3 linked regions of the Yarrowia lipolytica genome follow. The protein of the gene in region 1 binds, or shares a complex with, the protein of each later gene. Links are inferred from orthologs where the notes say so. Each region holds a gene or a part of one and is shown in the gene's direction. Other genes may lie near its edges.

Evidence for each region. The genes of interacting proteins can lie anywhere in the genome.
Region 2: the proteins of YALI1_B22020g (region 1) and YALI1_A02461g are in contact, whole or in part, in a crystal structure (PDB 1SXJ), measured with the Saccharomyces cerevisiae proteins. The link is inferred for Yarrowia lipolytica from reciprocal best matches to the Saccharomyces cerevisiae genes RFC1 and RFC3. Residues at the interface, in NP_014860.1 of Saccharomyces cerevisiae: Glu635, Gln636, Trp638, Ser639; in NP_014109.1 of Saccharomyces cerevisiae: Asp120, Met122, Thr123, Asn124, Ala125, Gln127, His151, Lys152, Leu153, Pro155.
Region 3: the proteins of YALI1_B22020g (region 1) and YALI1_F10688g are in contact, whole or in part, in a crystal structure (PDB 1SXJ), measured with the Saccharomyces cerevisiae proteins. The link is inferred for Yarrowia lipolytica from reciprocal best matches to the Saccharomyces cerevisiae genes RFC1 and RFC4. Residues at the interface, in NP_014860.1 of Saccharomyces cerevisiae: Asp295, Lys296, Leu297, Val300, Pro355, Gly356, Thr360, His364, Glu376, Asn378, Ala379, Ser380, Asp381, Val382, Asp424, Glu425, Asp427, Gly428, Ser430, Gly432, Asp433, Asn456, Asp513, Arg515, Gln516, Asn519, Thr526, Thr527, Thr528, Lys529; in NP_014547.1 of Saccharomyces cerevisiae: Glu28, Thr29, Arg32, Gln35, Ile36, Asp39, Asn41, Met42, Pro43, His44, Met50, Ile86, Arg90, Lys94, Pro105, Gly106, His108, Gly122, Gln125, Ala126, Arg128, Arg129, Thr130, Glu132, Ser135, Asn136, Arg139, Asn145, Ser147, Asn148.

Annotation. Positions count from the first base shown.
Region 1 is NC_090771.1:2,198,185-2,207,557, forward strand, and holds YALI1_B22020g (uncharacterized protein), read left to right. Parts: upstream 1-3,913; coding exon 3,914-3,982; intron 3,983-4,039; coding exon 4,040-6,829; downstream 6,830-9,373. Other genes in the region: YALI1_B21966g (uncharacterized protein), read left to right, coding at 1-578; YALI1_B22015g (uncharacterized protein), read right to left, coding at 1,058-3,409; YALI1_B22055g (uncharacterized protein), read right to left, coding at 7,086-7,400; YALI1_B22060g (uncharacterized protein), read left to right, coding at 7,911-8,456. UniProt on the Saccharomyces cerevisiae protein: Component of the ATP-dependent clamp loader RFC complex for the POL30/PCNA homotrimer DNA clamp.
Region 2 is NC_090770.1:244,373-249,798, reverse strand, and holds YALI1_A02461g (uncharacterized protein), read left to right. Parts: upstream 1-3,627; coding exon 3,628-4,704; downstream 4,705-5,426. Other genes in the region: YALI1_A02470g (uncharacterized protein), read right to left, coding at 817-2,739. UniProt on the Saccharomyces cerevisiae protein: Component of ATP-dependent clamp loader (RFC and RFC-like) complexes for DNA clamps, such as the POL30/PCNA homotrimer and the checkpoint clamp DDC1:MEC3:RAD17 complex.
Region 3 is NC_090775.1:1,065,185-1,070,602, forward strand, and holds YALI1_F10688g (uncharacterized protein), read left to right. Parts: upstream 1-3,694; coding exon 3,695-4,696; downstream 4,697-5,418. Other genes in the region: YALI1_F10652g (uncharacterized protein), read right to left, coding at 1-73; YALI1_F10660g (uncharacterized protein), read right to left, coding at 106-867; YALI1_F10671g (uncharacterized protein), read left to right, coding at 1,967-3,052; YALI1_F10713g (uncharacterized protein), read right to left, coding at 5,341-5,418. UniProt on the Saccharomyces cerevisiae protein: Component of ATP-dependent clamp loader (RFC and RFC-like) complexes for DNA clamps, such as the POL30/PCNA homotrimer and the checkpoint clamp DDC1:MEC3:RAD17 complex.

The DNA of each region.
Region 1 (9,373 bases):
AGAAAGAGGCCGTGAGCTTCGTAAAAGAGCAGCGCCTCATGTGCCTGTCTGCCGGTGAATGGTTCCAGAGTGTCAACCCCTTGAGCTCTGCTGCTGGTCAGCCCACCAAGTACTACTTTGTCATTCTGGCTATGGGACGAAAGGTGCTCAAGTGGGGCGGGTACGCCAAGCAGGGACGAAACCCCACCTGGGAGGAGGCTCCCAACACTATCGAGCTTGCCAGTGTTACCCGAGTCGAAATGACCCACGTGCGAACCCAGTCGGTTTCCCATGACGTTATTGGACTGCAGACTCGAACCAAGCACCATAAGGTGTCAATCTATGGCCAGAGCCCCACCCCCATGCTTGTATTCTACGTGGACACTGAGGACCAGGCCGCCGAGTGGGTCGATGGTATCAACTGTCTCATTGGTAAGCCCATGTCCACCGAAAAAACCAAACAATACGTGACTCTTTTCACCGAAATGTCTCTTCGGGCACAAGTCATGGGCATTGGCCCCGAGGATAACGTCGAGTGTTCCCGAGTGGGAGCCCTTCCGATGTGGGCTGAGGCTTCTGACGCCTTCTACTATGTTTAATTCGATCCTATGTAATGACGTCAGGGTTAAACCTCATGTCTTCTGTGTTTATTTGCGTTCTCGTCTTGTATAAGCCTATGGTGGTGCGTTGAATGACATTATTTTGAAAGGTCATCCAGAGTATGTACAGTAGACTGTCGGCTTAAGTTATACTTCAGGTCAATACCTGCTGGAGATGGCTGTCCAGCTTCTACCATCCCAAATTCTCTAAGAGTAATACTACATATTGTAGGCCCATGCCTACCTTTTGATTTTTCATATTGCTGGAAATCGGAGCTGAGACTCCAGTCCATCTACAGTATTAATACCCGCAAAGGGCTCAATTTGTCTGCTGTAAACGTCAACAGTATGGTTGTATAGGACAGGAAACAAAAAGCACAGACTCCCATTGTTTTGGGGTTCTTCAAACATCGAGACAATACACATTACTGCGGACTGCATATCTATACAATAAATTCAACTATATACCATCCTTTTCTTCACTTTCGCTTACCCTTTCCCTTGGGCTTACCTCGCTTAGAGGCCTCCTTTCGATCGGTCTTGGTCTTCTTGTACATTCGGACCTCCTCGTTGTCTTTCTTCTTCTTCATCTTGTCCTTGTTGCTGGCTAGTAGATTTCGTTTGTCCGAGGTCTCATCAGCCTTCTTCTCTTGGGCATTCTGGAACCAAGTTCGCCGAGGTCGGGATGCAATCTCCTTCTCGTACTTGAGAAGGTTCTCTCCCTTTCGCACCTCCATCTCGGCCTGCAGCATGGCCTTCTCCTCCTTCTCCTCAGCCAGAATCTCGTTGACAATGTCACCCTTCTCCTCGATCTTGGAGTATAGCTTCTCGACCTCAGGCCAGTCCACGTTTCGGCCCACGGCCTTGCCCTGTTTACTCTCAGATACAGACTTGATAGCCTCGCGGACAATGGCTCTGTCAGCAGCAGCCTCCCCGACCAGAGTGATGGATCGACCTTCTCGTCCTGCTCGAGCAGTTCGTCCAACTCGATGCAGGTAGACAGCATGGGTCTGGGGCATGTCGTAGTTGACGACACACTCGATCTTGGGGATATCCAGACCTCGGGAAGCCAGATCGGTACAGACCAGAATGGGCACCTCCAGTTTTTTGAATGCTGTGATGGACTGCAGACGCTGCTCCTGAGACAGAGCTCCGTGCAGTTCTCCAATTCGGACTCCGAGCAGACCCAGCATGATTCGAAGACGATGCGCAGTCTCTTTTCGGGCCACGAAAATAATGGTTCGCTGCTCCTTGTCCATCTTCTTGAGGATGGAGGCCAGCAGAGCGGGCTTGAGATGGTCTCGCTTACGGATTCGAACAAACTCTTGCACCAGACCAGAAGCGGCCTGCTTGGGAGGGTTGATCATGACTCGAACGGGCCGAGAAAGAGACAGCTGAATAAGCGACGAAATGGACGAATTCATAGTGGCAGAGAAAAGCAGAGTCTGACGCTTCTTGGGAAGCAGTGTCAGAATCTCGGTCAGTTCCTGTTGGAAACCCTCCTCCAGCATTCGATCAGCCTCATCAATCACCAGAATCTCGACATCGTCAACGTTGAACGAGGGAGAGTTTCGAACATGATCAATAAATCGACCGGGGGTAGCAATGACAACCTCGGGTCGCGTCTTGAGCTCCTGCTCCTGAACTCGAAGGTTCAGACCACCGACAGCCAGACCGAATCGCACGCCAGAAACATACTGTGCGAGCTTCTTACCAACATCGGCGACCTGAATGGACAGCTCTCGAGTGGGAGTCAGAACCACAACCTTAGTGGCTGCGACCTTGGAGGACTTGTAGAGAAGACGCTCCAAAACAGGAATGATGTACGCAGCAGTCTTACCAGAACCAGTGACGGCACCAGCAACCAGATCCTTGCCCATGAGAGCAATGGGGATGGTTCTGCTCTGAATCGGAGTGGGGGCCTGGTATCCCAGAGCAGAAATACCCTTCATGACGGGTCTAGACAGATTCAGAGTCTGAAAGGTTTTGTGCACAGACTCAGTCTTATCGTTGTTCTCCTCCTCGGGAGCGTAGAATGCAGCCATCTCCTCGGCAGTGTCCTGGGGTCCCTCGTCGATGGCAGGGCCTTTATGGTCATCCAAAACCAAATCATCGGGGTGCATACACTCCTCAGCCTCGGAGTCGCTTCCATCAGAGTCCTCCTCCTCTTCATTCTCAACCTCTTCTTTGTTCTCCTCGTCCTCGTCCTCAGGCTCATCCATGTCCTTTCCGGGCTGGACTCCTCCTCCGAAACCATCAATGGCCAGATCATCTTCGTTCTCCTCCATCTTAACGTCTGTCTCGGCCTCGTCCTCGTCCTCGTCCTCGTCCAGAAGGCCTCCTTTTCTCTTGATAATGCTGTCCAAATCAACTTCTCGCTTCTGGACCTTGTTGTCGTCCTTGGACACCTCAAAGTTCCAGCCGTCCAGACCTTCAGAGGTGGCAGCAAATCCGTCCAGCGAAAACTGGAAGTCGGGGTTGATGCCGGCCTTGGCAGCCTGCTTTTCTCGCTCCAGTAGCTCCTCGTCGGCTTCACTGAGTTTTTGCTTCTTCTGCTTCTTTGTCAGCTTGACAGGCTTCTCCTCCACCTCTTCCTTCTCGTCTGCACTCTCCTCCTCCAGATCTTCACCGTCGGAATCTAGAGTCATGACAAAGTCGTCCTTTACTTTGGAAATCATGGCAGCCGATTGTTTGGACTTAGTAGCCTTCTTGACCGGTTTGGTCACTTTTCCCTTGACCATTTTTGTGTGTGTTATTTGCGTGCTGGTTTGAAATAGGGTGGATAATTTATTTCTGCATGGACATATTTTTCCAATAAACTCTGGATGCATTAATGACGCACAGTCATGTGATTGACGTTAGGAGGAGGGTGAGGGAGTGAGTGTTGCAGTAGAAGTACGAGTACATACTGTAGAGGGTTATAACTTGATGAATCTTGGCTGAAGTGTCAATGTGAACAGATTTTATGACCATCAAGCCATTACAATTGATCACTAATAGTCATATAATCCAAATCTGTTCTTTAATCTGTTATTACATTGTTCACCTTACGAAGTCCACCTGCCATCACACGCAGCAAGCCAGCATGTGGGTACAATAATTGCCCACAATACAAGAACAACTCATTTCACGATCATTAAATTGCATAGATAAACTGCTTCAACAACCTCTTACCTGTGATTATTTTTCATCACTTATTGTAGTCACAATATACAGTAACCTCTCTGTTGTAATTACTCCCCTGCCTCTTCTTTCGCCTCTCCCAACCGCAGCACTGCAAAACGCGTCAACACGAAGCTTTCCATTTATCACCACTGGAACGCAGTGCAAAAAAAATGCCTCCCAAAGATATCCGCAGTTTCTTTGGAGCCCAAAAGACCAAGGCGCCGGCCAAGTCCAATGACGTGAGTACCAATTGCACTGCCCATCTGTTTTGATTCACGCAAAAACCACTAACATAGAAACGGCCAGCCACCACGTCTGTGGACGAAGAGAGAAAGCCCAAAAAGGTCAAACAGGAGGTCAAACAGGAGATTAATTCCGAGCCCGAGAAGTCGCCCGTCAAGCCAAAGATTCCCGCAAAGCCCAATCCCACTGCTAAGACCAAGTCTCCTGCCAAACCTGCTCCCAAAAAGCGGACAATCCAGATTGACGATTCTGACAGCGAAGATGGAGAGGCCCCTTATGAGATAGATATGGACAGCGACGACGGGTTTGTGGACGACGATGATTTGCCCGTGAAACCTGTGCAGCGACGAACACGACGATCGGGGCCAGTCAAGGATGACGATGTGATTGAGATTGATGAGGACGACAATGTGGTCAAGAAGCCACCTCCCAAGGCAAGCGTATCAAATAAGGGCCCAATCATTGACTATGACGATCTCGATGACGACGATCTCGAGCAAATCAAGCGTGCTCCTAAAAAGGCTGCCCCCAAGCCCAAGGCTGCTCCAACGGCCGCCCCCAATGCTCGATCCGCACCTGGAGGGGCTACAGCAGAGTCTGTACTAGCGCAATTACCCGACGCCGAGCTTCCCGAGGTCGAGGAGGGGAAGAAGTTCAACTTCCGAGAGCATCTGGCCAAGAACACGGCCACTGGAAGTGGAGAAGGAGGAGGAGCAGTGGAGCTTCCTGAGGCGGCCGAAAACTGTCTGGTGGGCCTCACGTTCGTTTTCACTGGCACCATGCCCAACTTGTCGCGAGAAGAGGGTCAGGCCGCAGTCAAAAAGTACGGAGGTAAGGTCACTTCTTCCATTTCTGGTAAGACCAACTGTGTTGTTCTGGGAGAAGATGCCGGACCCAAGAAGATTGAGCAGATCAAGAAGCTCAGAACCAAGGCTCTGGATGAAGCTGGTTTCTTGGAACTGCTCAGACTCATGCCTGCTGACGGTGGAGGGGGTGCTGCTGCTGAAAAGGCGCTAGCTAAGCAGGCAGAAGAGGCCGACAAGATTGCTGCTGAGAGCGCAAAGATGGCTGCTGAGATGGCGGCGCGAGAAAAGAAGGAGAAAGCTGCATCCAAGAAGGCGGACGCTTCTGGAGCCCCTCGGGCTGTGTCTATGGATGACCAGCTGTGGACAGTCAAATACGCCCCCAACAACCTGAATCACGTTTGCGGAAACAAGGGAGCGGTGACCAAGCTACAAAACTGGCTCAACAACTGGCACGACAATGCCAAACATGGATTCAAGCAGCCTGGAAAAGATGGATTTGGCATTTATCGTGCTGTTCTGCTGTCTGGTCCCCCTGGAATCGGTAAGACTACTGCTGCGCATCTGGTGGCCAACCTTGCAGGCTATGATGTGATTGAGAACAACGCCTCGGATGTGCGATCTAAAAAGTTGCTTGCTCAGGACGTTTCTTCAGCTCTCACAAACACCTCCATCATGGGTTTCATGAGCTCAGCGAAGTCTTCCAAAGAGAAGAAGATCTGTATGATCATGGACGAGGTCGATGGTATGTCTGCTGGTGATCGAGGAGGTGTGGGCCAGATGGCTGCCCTGTGTCGAACTACTGAGGTGCCAATCATCCTCATCTGTAACGACAAGGGTCTTCCTAAGATGCGTCCATTTGACAGAGTGACTCTGGACATTCCTTTCCGACGAATGGACCCCAAGGCTATCCTAGCACGAATGATGACCATCTGTCATCAGGAGAAGATCAAAATTTCAGCTCCTGTTTTGGAGCAGGTCATTGCTGGCTGCAACTCAGATATTCGTCAGATCATCAACTTGCTGTCGACTTATGCTCGAAACCAGAATGAGGGTGGTCTTGATATTGAGTCTGGTAAGAAGATGACCCAGTCATGGGAGAAGAATGTGGTTCTGAGTCCCTTTGATATCACTGGAAAGCTGCTTTCCGGAGGCCTATGGGCTCCTTCCTCCAAGGCCACTCTCAATGACAAGATTGAGCTTTATTTCAACGATCACGACTTTGTTCCTCTCATGATCCAGGAAAACTATCTCAACGTGCAGCCTAGTGGAGGAGGCGACAACAAGGAGCGTTTGAGGAAGACGTTGGCTGCTGCTGAGTCCATATCTGATGGTGATCTTGTTGATAAGATGATTCATGGCTCCCAGCAGCACTGGTCTCTGATGCCTTTGCATGGGTTCCTGAGTGCGGTTAGGCCTGCTTCTTTCGTTGCCGGCCAGGCCCGAGGACGATTCAACTTCACGTCCTGGCTGGGTCAGAACTCCAAGGGAGGAAAGCATCTTCGAGCTCTCCAGGAGCTTCAGAGTCATGCTGGATACAAGACTTCGGGCAACTCTCGAGAGCTGAGACAGCAGTACTTGCCTTTGATGACTCGAAAGCTTCTTGACCCACTTTTGGCTAAGAAGGCAGAGGGAGTTCCTGAGGTGATCGATTTCATGGACTCGTATTATCTCACCCGAGAGGATTGGGATGCTATCATGGAGATGGGTGTTGGTCCTGACAGTGGAGAAGAGCGTATGAAGAAGCTCGAGACTCAGACCAAATCTGCCTTCACTCGAAAATATAACACTTCGTCGCATCCCGTGCCCTACATAAAGTCTGGAACTGCCATGGACATGAAGGCGTCTAAGGCCCAACCTGATTCGGGAGACGTGGTTAATGAGGAGGTGGAGAAGGAAGAGGAAGAGGATGAAGAAGACATTTCGAAGGACAAGTACATCAATCAGCCCAAAAAGAAGGCTGCTCCTAAGAAGGCTGCTCCCAAGAAGACACCTGCCAAGAAAGCTGCCCCCAAGAAGGCTGCTGCTAAGAAAAAATAGCCTGTCCTGTTACTACTGTGTATGTATTTAGACGCAATTGATTTATATGAAATACATCCTAATGAAATTTTTGAGCGTATTCTATTGTCGTTATTCGTTAATCATTAATCGTGTTGTGGTGTCATAACTTGTAGGGGGTATGCTGTCTGATATTCGCTGCAGTACTCAAAATCAGAGACAGATTCTGGCAATATGAAAGATGGCGTGTCAAAAGACATGTCAAAAGGTCCGTAATCGCGTCTTGGTGTCGTAGCGATTAACTCCTCTCTTGTTGCATTCGCCTCACTTTAACCTCCAGCTCCTTGGACCACTCGTCCACCTCTCCAACTAGCTTCTCCAGAGTATCGAGGTGGCCACGGACCTGTTTGAGCTGGTCCACGTACCTTGCGTTCTCGTTGTTCAGACCTTCGAGGTACTCTCTATCGTTTTCGAGGCCCTTGGTCGACTCGGCAAGTTGCTTGTACTTGTGTGTCTGTTTGCGATTCACCACCTCCAGCGAGTCTAGCCACGTGACTGTGTAGTCTGTCTGGGCGTCGATCAGGTTTTCCGCAGCCTTGACGGTTTTCTCCATGGTGAATCACTGGGTCAACATGCCTGTGGTGGTGAGCTTACCCATATGCATGCTGTTAATTAAGTTGGTGCTGTTTGGAATTGTCGAGGGTGAATATGTCACGTAAGAAAACAGGATGATATTAGTGAAGCCACCGCTGGTTAACGATTCAGATCCCATAAACATAGCTAGACATTAATTCTTCTCTCTTCAAAACCGTTACAACAGGTATTGTACCAGTTTCAAAGCCAGGTTAGGGTTGGGAGCTGGAGAGGATGTCTATCTCTTTGATGTTGTGGGTTTGCTTGTACAAGTACTGCGTTGAGCCAACTACTGTAAGTCAGCCTGTGCCTCATCCTATTAGAAATAGTCGCATTCCACGTCATTCTTATCATTTCAAACACCCAGACCAAACTTGCAAGCAGCCCTACAGTATTTCAAAATGTACTGTACAGTATAGAGTTCAATCATCTTACACGGAAATTCAATTTCATTTCACGAGTAATTCCGACACCACACACATCACACACTATGGGAATGTTCTGGAACAGGAATCCCAAGGAGGAGCCTGCCACGGCTGCCGTTCAGGAGCAGGTGTCGACTTCCGCGCCTGCCGAAGCAGCTGCTGCTCAGGCAAAGGCCAAATCAGACGACGATGACTACGAGGCCATGTTTGGAGTCAAAGCCTCGGAGCTGCTGGGTGTCTATAAGCCAAAGCCCAAGAAGGTGTCTTCTGAGGAGCAGAGCTCTAAAAAGACCGAAAAAGATCCGTTAGAGGTGCCGACTTTGCCGGAGGGACCCAGGAACATGCGTGTCTATTTCCCCGAGGAAATGTCGTGTTGGGAGGCGTTCAACGAGGTGGTGGCATGTTACTCTGTGGGCGGCCAGGTGCGAAACTTGTACCGGTTCGGCTCTCTAAATTACTGCGATAAGCCCAAGGACAAGTGGAAGTTTTGCATGGGCGTCAAGCTGGATCCCGAGGAGATCAAGAAGGCCAAAATAAAGCAGTTCTACATGAAGCAGCTGGCTGAGAAGATGACCGGCGGTTCTTCCGAGGATATTTGGGAGCGACGATAGCGTGCTTTTAGTGGGGCGAAATATAAGCGGCTACTCTGGCATTGTGGGTGTGAGACGAGTGTTCGTGGATCAGGGGCTCACTTGTATATAGACTAAAGATTGATATGGACGACGTGATGGATATGTCGACGTACTTTTAGAATTGCAATATCGTGTGTAAACAACTCACAGACGTGCAAATCACTCCCACAGCACCTACACAACCACATCTACAGTATGGTATGTACAGTAGATCAATGGTATAGTCTTAGTACAACTACTGGTACCACAGCAAGTGCAAGTGCCGCAGCTACTGTAGCTCCGGCAAGCATACCAAGAGTCCAAAAGACTGAGTGGTGTGTTTATTTTGTCGCAGTTTCCAGCCGTATAAGTGGTATCTACTATTTGTCCATCATCATCCTACAGTATATTCGAACGTCATGGTCCGAGTAGCCTATGCATCTTCATGTCGAAGTGGGAGGCGACCCCTGACATATCCCTCAGATCTCCATTTCACAGACGGGACCATTTGGCTGTTTAACTCATACAATTGTAGTGATATTCCTACACTTGCTCTCCAACCATGCTGTCCTACTGTACCGTGTGCCAACCACCTGGTCCCTTACTGCTTTACTCAGATGGCGGAAGGAGTACAGACATATTAAGGAGCAATATTGTGCTACAAGTAGCTACTGCAATTGAGAAAGTATGGCATTATGTAATTACTAAATCTACAAGTAGTTATTTCATGCTGATTGTGACTATGATTATCTTTTCCATGTATTGAAATGCTTCCATTTGTGGTAATCTGCTACAATACTACAATACTGCAAACAGTAGCTCGGCACAAAAAAAAAAAAAAACCTTGTGTACACTCACTGACAGTAATAAGATGCTACATGCGACTTCTTCGTACGTACTGTATGTCTACTCACAAT
Region 2 (5,426 bases), on another chromosome or scaffold:
GAGAAAATGGGCTGGGACTGCATTTAGGGTGGCAAATCGAGCAACTTCAAGGGGGCCTATATGTTGATATTTTTTGGTGGCGAGGCGTAGATATGGTGGTATCGGTGTATTTGAGGGGGGATTGAGAGCAGATCGGCACTGTTGGTCACAGAAATATTGCAGGAGATGAGCTATTGCTGTGTCTGTCAGATACAGCAATAGCTTGCTTGGTATCCACTGAGATTAGGTCTAAGATGAGAAGGAGATGGAGCAAGGATTGGTGGTCAATGTCTATGTGATATAGAATTCGAGTATTGGACTACGTACAGCGTCTTACAGGTTGTACACTGTGGTACGGCGGCCTGTACAAGTAGGCACTGTACCTACAGTGTACAGTACATACACTGGGAACGAATACTGCACTCGAAGATGAACATTGTCTACAGATTGGTTGCACTCCGGTGAGAAGAAATGTTCCAGCACATATACTTGTACTCCACCGTCGTATAAAAGTATCTGAAATTGTTTTCCGTCTTGGATCTGTGAATGAAGCGAGTCGCTTTACGGAATCAAGTCGAGTCGCTGTACAGAATCTAGTCGCTGTACAGAATCGAGTCGCTGTATAGTAGACTGTAGCTATCGTATGTATAGCACATAGTGTTCCTAAGAACTCGCTAAGGTATCCTGAACAGCTTTCTCAATCTCCGACAAACGGTAGCTTCCCAGGCGGACTCGTGCAGCGGCCCTTTGGCTCGTTTGTCCTGCTCTACATTGTCGCCCACACCATATATCTAAATGTATTGCCTGGAAGTCTTGAACTCCATCTATAAATCTATGCTACCACAAGACCACAAACAGGAACGACACTGCCATCAGGGCGACGGACAGCGTCACTGCTCGCGCGCCGTCCAGAAAGTAGACTGCTCCAAGATACGAGCATGTGATATCTCCGTCGTCTGATCGCAGCCCGTAACTGAGCTCTCTATTTCGATGCTGTTTGGGACACTGGAAGCCCAAAGAAGCGTCACAGTCCTGCACAATCTTCTGACACAGGTCCAGACACGGCAGGATCTCCTTGTACCGTCCGGGCTTGAGAACGCGATCAATGAGGGCGTTTCGTGAAGTGCCAGGAGGCCGTTCTTGTAAATAGGTTGCGTTGTTGGACCAGTCCGCACACCGAGGAATGGTCACGGCACAAAGCCACTGCTTGTATGAGTCAGCACAGTCGTCGCACGACTTGAGAATGGAGTATCTCGAGTCCAGCGACGCGTTACAGGCGACAATCTGTTGTGAGTAGGTGAAGTTTTGCCACCATTTGGAGGCGTTATCGTCGTATAATTTAGCTAGTTCCTGTGAGTCCACCATGGACGAGTTTCCTGGAACCGCGTACGCCACATCAGAGCAAAAGTCCAAATCGTAGACCAGCTGGCAATTGTCTGATGTCTTGGAGGAGAACCACACTTGGTCGTAAACGGTGCCTCCTGGCGTGTTTGAGTTGGGTTTGGTTAGCACAGCAAGGTAGGGGGTAGAGTTGTTCAGCCCCTTCATGAAAAATTGCTGCTTGTAGTAATGTCCGAGACCTCGCCGGGTGTACGAAACATCGCAGTTACCCGAGTTGAGCACAGATGGGCCCTTTTGGATGGCACAATACGAGTTGGAGAGCCACCACAGCTGCATTTCGTTCTCCATGGGGAACGCAGTAATGTCGTAGATGGCGTTTTTGATATCAACAATGTAATGGTCCGATGTGGCGTTCTGGGGATCGGTTGTCAGGTTGCCCGTCACAAATAATGCATGGTTGTAGTCGGAGTCGACCAGATAGAGGTTCGGTGTGTCCTTGAAGGAATAGAGAGGCGCTTCCCATGAAACCCCCAGCGAGTATGTGAAGTCTCCAGGCTGAGTGGCCTGTCCTGCGACCGACGTGGGAGCCGCAGGTTTGGATACTCCGTTATTAGAAACATCGCTGGGGGCAGCAGTAACCACCTCATCTCCATCGTCCGAGCCTCCTTGGGGCGCCTTGTCCTCATCCTTGTCCTCATCCTTGTCCTTCCGCTTGGTGAGCTTGTCCTTCTTGAGCTCTGCGTGTTTTACTTGACGTTTGTCGACATTGTTGACATCTGAGTCGATCTTGGTCAGTGCACTGGTGTCGAACGTCATGTTGCTGAAATCCAGCTGAATGTAGAGGTTCGTCACCTGCACCGCACTAACATCAATCGTCAAGTTGGCGAATCCAAACTCGAAGTTGTCCATGGAAAAGACAATGTTCTGCGGGTTCCATCCAGCCTTGAGTAATGCAGGGGCTGTGTAGTCGTAGTCCATGGACATGTTTTTGTAGTTGAGGTTAGGTGGACCGGCACAGATGTTGGCGGTGATGTAAATCGTCTTGGCGTTGGCAGGAATGTCCGTCAGATTGTAGATACGTGTATCGTTCAGTTTCATCACGTAGTCCACGGGCTGGTTGTTGGCGATGGGAGTGGCCACCACCGGCGTGGTGCCGGTCGGCTGGTTGTAATTGGGCACTGTTGACGCCGTGAACAGATTTGTGGACTCTGTGTGCGTCGTAGTACTCGAGGTGGTCGTCATCACCGAGCTCGGAGCCTTGGCCCGGTTCTCGACCACCCGTCTCCACAGGTCGTTGCCGAGATGCTGGAACGGCAGGAGCAGCTCGGGCGTGCCGAGCGAGTCGTCGTCGGTCACGTTGCCCAGAAACGCCCGGACCAACGTGACCGCCAACCCCAGAATTAGGATCCACAGACGCATGCTGGGTGGTGGAGAAGAGCCTGAAAGGTGCAAGGTAGCCTACGTGCACATCACGTGCCGGGCTGTACAACACTGGGGATGCTAACTACGTAACTCTACACAGGGCGGACCCAAAGCTGCCCGATAACGTGGTAAAGACGAGGTGTTTTTTACTCAAGCAGGCGCGCCACTGAGCGTGCGGACGATTCGATGCACAAGGTCGTATTCTCAACGCCAACTTGTACTGTCTTCTTCATGTCTTACCATCTCTCCTTGAAAAAAAAGAGTTTGTCCAACAACCGTTTTTAAGCCGCACGTGGTGTTCCGACTGAAAAATGAAAAATACTGGGGGAACAGAGTGTGCAGCGGTAGTTTGACGAGTAGACGACGCGATGATAGCAGGAGTTCGGGAGAGATAGCTGTTAGATGGAGCAACTAGAGTCTCCGTTACAAGTTTTTGACACCTTTCTACGCCGTTTCGGTCCCCGATATTCGCGCTTTACCGACCCAATGACGTCACAATATTTCGATAACCTTGATTGTCTCTGATAGTGGGCGAGAATGAAAAAAAAGGGTAGGCGTTTATCTCGACCAATGGGGCGGATATGGTGAGAGTTGAGACACAGATTGTGAGGGATGAGACAAATATCTGTTATTTATTGAAAGTATTCGATTCGTCATGTTTCTCCTATATTTTTCGACTATTTCCGTCGTCTCTATTCGGTTTTAAAACTTCGACCAGTGTTAAGGATACTCAACTATTTCCCAACGACACCTGCAGTACCTACTTGACGTTTACTCACTGCCGGCTTAAAAATATTATAAGAAAAAAAAACACCACATGCATGTAAAACTTCAAATTGAAACGCGTCCAGCACACACAGATCAACACTACTACACACACAGAAAATGTCCGCTAACATGGAGGGATTCGAGGAATCGCGAAAGGGCAAGGAAATTGCTGTCGACACCATCAAGCCCGGAAAGGATCATCTGCCCTGGGTCGAAAAGTACCGACCCGACACTCTGGACGATGTTACAGGCCACGAGGGAGTAGTGACCACGCTCAAAAAGTTGCTGGCCAACAAAAAGTTCCCGCATCTGCTGTTTTACGGTCCTCCCGGTACCGGAAAAACGTCCACCATTCTTGCGGTGGCGCGAGAGATCTACGGACCCAGCTACAAGAGCATGGTGCTGGAGCTCAACGCGTCCGACGACAGAGGAATCGACGTGGTGCGAGACCAGATCAAGGTGTTTGCCAGCTCGCGGCAGATTTTCCAGCGTGGTGGCGAAGAGAATGCGCGATCCAACTTCAAACTGGTCATTCTGGACGAGGCAGATGCCATGACCAACGTGGCTCAGAACGCCCTGCGACGAGTCATTGAGCAGTACACCACCCATACCCGATTTTGCATTCTCGCCAACTACACACACAAGCTGAACCCCGCGCTGCTATCGCGATGCACACGGTTCCGATTCAGCCCTTTGCCCGAGGCAGCCATCGACAAACGAATCATGCAGGTCATTGACGCGGAAAAGGTCAAGATTGCGCCCGACGCCAAGGCAGCGCTGCTGGAGCTGTCCAAGGGAGACATGAGACGGGCTCTCAACGTGCTGCAGGCGTGCCACACGGGTCTGGAGCACCCTGGAAAGGACACAATCACTCTTTCACAAGTATACTTGTGTGTTGGGTCGCCTGACCCAGCAGACATTGACACCATTCTGACTTCGATCCTGAACGACGACTGGACCACAGCTTACGACACCGTTTCCACTCTGAAACGAGAACGAGGTCTGGCACTGGTGGACATTCTGGAGAAGCTGTCCGCTGAACTGATGGCACTCAATCTGAAGGAGAAGACCAAGATTGCACTCTTGTCCAAGCTTGCCGACATTGAGTACCGGTTGGCCAACGGAGGCTCCGAGAAGATCCAGACCAGTGCTGCTATCGGTGTTATTAAGGACTCTATGGAGTTGGAGGTTTAAGAGAGTGCGGACATTGGCAGAGAAGAAGCGTCATCAGAGAAAAGGCGTCATCAGATCATAGAATAAGTGCTTCCAGTGCTGTGTGCTTCCAATGCACGTGTTTCTCTCAGATCGTTTTCAACACGTATATACAGTAATCGAAAAATTGACGAATATGAGGCAGGTTGGTATGTCTTGAGATCCATGGGAATCTGTCCAGACCTACATAGGGACTTTATCGTACACCTCTAAACGCCTATAATTGTAGATGAAGCATTGGCACTGTTACTTGTGTTACGTCTTGTGATGGTCCGTTGCGATCCTCCCTGTTGTTTTGTTGATAATTAGTTAAGAAAAGGTTTATATTTATCTCATTTTTAGCTGAACACATTTGTATTCTCTAAACCACAGTTAACACTATGCTCTAGTTTACTTAGATGTTGGTTAAGAGCAGACAGCTCACCCAGAGCAGAAAACCGCATGTTCGTAGACCAATAACGACTGGATTGCAGGGAATCACGTGACAATGTACATTATGTCTAATTTCCTGCTTTGTGACCTTCAGACTCCGTTTAACGGCCCTTTTCATGACGCGGTGATATGTTTTTGGTTCACATGTCATCCATCTCATCTCATCTCTACGACCCTGCGGCTCAACAATGCAACCCGGACAAAGTTCGGACCCCACATTTTCGATCTCCACACTTGATCTACACACTTGATCTCATCACTCCGATACCACC
Region 3 (5,418 bases), on another chromosome or scaffold:
TGAATAACTCCAGCAGCTTCGGAGATGAAGTCAAGGGCCCAATACATGCCTTGATCGAGTCTGCTCCATGCATAACATAATCACAGCCCGTGTTTGTAATTCTTCCTACAGACGGACGAAGACCATAGACACCACAGCAAGCAGCTGGACCTCGAATTGAGCCTCCAATGTCAGTTCCGAGACCCAAAACAGACGCTCCAAGACCGACGATGGCTCCTTCACCCGAGGATGAGCCTCCAGACGTGAGATCTCGGTTATAGGGGTTGTAAGTCTTTCCATGGAGAGGCGACTCTGATTCCAGCGACATGAGAAATTGGGGACCGGTATTCGACAGTAAGGGTTAGCTCCGGCTTTGTAGAGTACTTTAAGGATGATAGCATTGTCCGGAGTGATGTTGTTGATCTTGGAAGACACGGAAAAGTGGCAGGTTCGGCCTTTGAAGCCCACCATCTCCTTGACGGACACGGGAAGTCCATGTAGAGGACCCACGGGCTTTCCTGTGGATTTTAGATAGTCATCAAGTTTCTGAGCAGTTTCCAGTGCCTCTCGAGGAAGCAGCTCCGTCAGGCAGTTTGTGAGAGTCTGGGCAATAACAGCAGCTCTTAGGAACGCTCCTGCGACAGCCACAGCCGATACCTTGGCCTTAGCAAGCTGATCGAGCAGCTCGATTGGGTCCGAATTGATGATAGCTGCATCGTCATGGGCCAGCATCTCCTGGAACACGGGGATGGAGTTCTTGGGCAACTTTGCGGGAACTTCATGATGTCTCGAGTCCTCGGGTGGAGGAAACACTTTGTCCAGCTCTGCAATGGAATCGTCTCTGATCTTGAGGAACTTCTCTCTAGCAATTTCGAATGTGAGAACCATGGTGAAGGTTGCAATCAGGTTTTGTCGACGATAGTTGGCCAACACCGTCGATGCCACTCCAAGGCATTATATATTGGCTTTTGTTATCATACGGTATCTCCGCACTCGAGCCGCAGCGGGAGTTTAATATGCGACGCGCAAGGTGGGGGAAGACTAGAGGGTGGAGCGGCTTGGAACTCATATGAAGAGTTGAAACAGATAAGGAACGTTTAAATACCCCGTTACGCAACGGCTGCTTTTCATCCTATGTGGGTTTTCGGTCGATAATTGCCTACAATTGCTCTCTTCTTCTCGGAGGGGTGCTCTCATTCAGGAAACTTTCCACGCCCTTATCAGCCTACATGCGTCTGACACCCCCGCTCAACGAAAACGATATGTACGTAGATCCATGTTCCCCGGAGTTTAGATATAGGTGTTGCAGTGAATTTAGGGGGTGTGATATACAGGTATAAAAGGTGCCACCGCCCCCACCCCTGCTCCTATCCCCAGTACATACAGCTTCTCTGAGACTATATCAACTTCCATGTTCAATTAAATCGCCAATTATACTTCGGTAAATGTCTCAAGTAATTACTTAACAAATGACTCTCAAACTGCCTTCTTTTGTTATTCTTTCACAGCAAAGTTATAATTAAATGAATGTATATGCAGAAAAAAAAAAAAAAACTTTTGTCAGACGACAAACACATATAGAGACAATACTAGTCATGGGATGAGTTCGTTACCAGTCTGCAACACTTCCTGCTGTCTCATTTTTCAATCCGTAGGCGATAATACAAAATTCCAAGAAATTCCATCTATTTCCACCATTGCCACCCATGCAGGTCAGGCATCAAAACTCTGATCAGTTAGCGAGGGGAGATATTTGGGTGTTGGTATCGAAGCCTTCCGTAGTTCAAATCTGGTAATTGGCAACTTCAAAACGTCCATGCGACTCCTTAGACTTGATTCAAGTTTTCACCCACTCAATAGGATTCATATTAACGTATTTATTGACACTACCTTCTCCTTCCGGGTCACGTGCCATGAACCCAAAAAATATATTTTCAAAATTAGACTGCGATAAATCCAAGTTTTCCAGACAACTACAACACACACAATGTCTTCCGAATTCCAAGAACTAATCGAATTTCTGCACTCCGACCACCCTGCCGTCAAGCAGGTTGCTCTACAGTCCCTCGTGGGCTACTCACAGGGCCATGCCGAGCAGTTCAAGGCCAACGACTACCAGGGAGTCAAGGATCTGGTGGCCACCGTCATGCTGGGCACCCCCAGAGTCAATGTGGAGAACGCTCTGACCATTCTCATCAACCTATGCGATGACAGAGACATTCTCGACATGCTGGCGTCCAACTCCATGTTCGTAGCCATGATTGCCTGCGAGATTTGCGATCTCGAGAACAAGCAGGCCGATCTGTGCTGTATGCTGCTAGCCAACCTGGCCAAGGACGACCACATTGTGTCCATCTTCGACGCCACCAAGAAGCTCAAGAACACGGAGGTGTTCAAGTCGGAAAAGCTCATCGATTCGCTCATGGACTGCTTTGTCAAGGGCGCTACCGGCAAGCTCAACCTCTTCTCCAACTTCGACTACCTGGCCTTTTTCTTTGCCGATCTGTCGCGATTCCGACGAGGTCGAGACTACTTTGTCACTGAGCAGCCCTACGATGGTCTGTTCCCCATCCAGAAGCTGCTGCCCTTCACCGAGTTTGTGGACTCGCGAATCCGACGAGAAGGTGTTGCTTCTACAATCAAAAACTCGCTGTTTGACACCGACAAGCACTCCAAGTTTGTGCTTGACCCCGAAATCAACCTGCTGCCCTTCATCATGCTGCCCCTGGCGGGCCCTGAGGACCTAGAGGACCCCGAAGAGATCTTTGATCTGCCCGAAGAGCTGCAGCTGCTGACGCCCGACAAGCGACGAGAGGAGGATCTCGACATCATGTGCACTCATCTGGAGTCTCTGCTGCTGCTGACCACTTCGCGGGAGATGCGAGAGTACATGCGAACCAAATCCGTCTACCCTATTGTTCGAGAGCTGCATAAGAACCACGACGACCAGACCATCCAGGAGCGATGCGACCGAGTTGTGCAGATGCTCATGCGGGACGAGCCCAAGGAGGCTGGAGATGATGCCAAGGTGAAGGAGGTTGACTCTGATGATGAGGTTGTCGAGGTGATTTAATCATAAACGAAGCGAGTGATAATTGCCCGGAACACGAGCGGGGCGAATGGTCTGTTCGGAGGTTTTACATCTAATCATGTCACCAGATGGCGCAGATCGAACAGTTGTCCGCACCTCTGGTCCCACAATACACATCAACTGGAGCCAGGGCTCATATGTATAGAAGCAGTTAATGAAATGTATTTGTATGAATAATTGAGAGATGATAGAATGATGTGATTGTGGATAGTGGTTGGTGTTTCTGTGTGTCATCATTGCGCAGAGTGGAGTGTAATAATTACTACTGTATGACCATCGAGGAAGCTGCAGCGGTATATTCAATTAGTTGACTTCACTCAACAAACAACTGAACTAGACTAACAGAACAAGCACCACAAGTGTCGGCCAAACAGTGCCACTTTTTTTTACTAGAACCAAATTTGAAAAGAGCAGTATATTTTCCGCTGTCAAATTAATCATTTCCTATTATCTTCCAGCGACAATTTATTAGCGAAACCTGATTGTATCCAGCACTCCAACTACCCTACAAACCCTCGTGCATCGCGAACTCAATTAATACACGTCTGCCGAAATTACAGTAATCAAGTGCTAAAAAATCACGTCCAACACGACACATCACAGCACACACTAATATTACACAACATGAGTGAAGCCGGACCATCGAAAAAGCGAAAGGGAGAGCCCGAGTTCGAGCTGCCCTGGGTTGAAAAGTACAGACCCATGTATCTCGACGACGTTGTGGGTCATACAGAAACCGTTGAACGACTTAAGATCATGGCCAAGGACGGAAACATTCCCAACTTGTTGATTTCCGGTCTCCCCGGTATTGGAAAGACCACCTCCGTGCATTGTCTTGCGCGTACTCTTCTCGGTCCCCAGCTGTACAAAGACGCTGTTCTGGAGCTCAATGCTTCAGATGATCGAGGTATCGAGGTGGTTCGAGGTAAGATCAAGAACTTTGCCCAGAAGAAAGTGACCATGCCTCCTGGTAAACACAAGATCATCATTCTGGATGAGGCCGACAGTATGACTGCTGGTGCCCAAAATGCGCTCAAACGAACCATGGAGTTGTACTCTGATACTACTCGATTCGCCTTTGCCTGCAACCAGAGCAACAAAATCATTGAGGCCATTCAGTCGCGATGCGCCATTCTTCGATTTGGCCGACTCTCTAATGAACAGGTGCTCGAGCGACTGCTGCACATTGTCGAGGCTGAAAACGTGCAGTGCTCAGACGACGGCCTGTCTGCTCTCATTTTCTCGGCGGAGGGAGATATGCGTCAGGCGATCAATAACTTGCAGGGAACTGTGTCTGGATTCGGATTCGTCAACTCTTCCAACGTTTGGAAGGTGGTGGACTCCCCCCATCCCGTGGTCGTCAAATCCATGTTGGATGCCTGCAGCAAGGGTGAGGTGACCGAGGCATGCGAGTCGCTCAAGCAGCTGTGGACCAAGGGATACAGCGCCCAGGATATCATCTCCACAATGTTCCGAGTCACCAAGACACTGGAGGTGCCCGAGGCGCTACGGCTGGAGTACATTAAGGAGATTGGCTTCACTCACATGAGAATCCTCGAAGGAATCACCACATATCTGCAGTTAGCAGGCTGCGTCGCCAGATTGTGTGGTATTCAGGTCAAGTGAGAGCTGAAATCAAGTCCACACAAGGCGGCCGATATTAAAAAAAGTCTCCAGAAGACCTGTCTCAACCCGTAGACAGTAATCCGTATCTATAAAATGCATTATAAAACCGAAAAGTGTGCAAGAGGTAGCGGTCTATACATGCCTTGTACACTATACTTTCACAATTCATGGACTCAAGCGCCTAGAGTATTGTACATACAGTAGTAGAAGTACAGTACTCACACGCGCACATATCTAGCCACATCAGGTTCTCGCTGAATATTAGTGAGACATATCTGAGCTTCGAGACAGCAGAAAGAACTCTGACACCGATAATCCCAACATAGTGTCCCCTGACCGAACCTATAGAGACGCAGATATAGTCCTGACACGTTCTTGAGACGCGTACAAGCTACGTTAGCTACTGCTTTGTGCTTGCTATCTTACTCATTCTGGTCCGACAGCAACTCCCGGGCCAGCAACTAATGCAACTTCAACTAAATACATTTTAAATATACTCCGAGTGAGCGTGTTACCCACGAGCTTTTGGACGAACACTCTGGGTTCAGGTTGGTGGATTACGGCGTGATAACCGTGGGCTCACAGAGTAAGTGCTGCTCACGCAGTTCTCACTTTGGTAATGCGCTCACTTGTGTTCCCCTTGTTTACCACCGAATCAACAAGGTCATTGTGGCAAGGAAACCGACAAATCCAGCCGCCAGCAGCGTCTGGTAGGTCTTGAA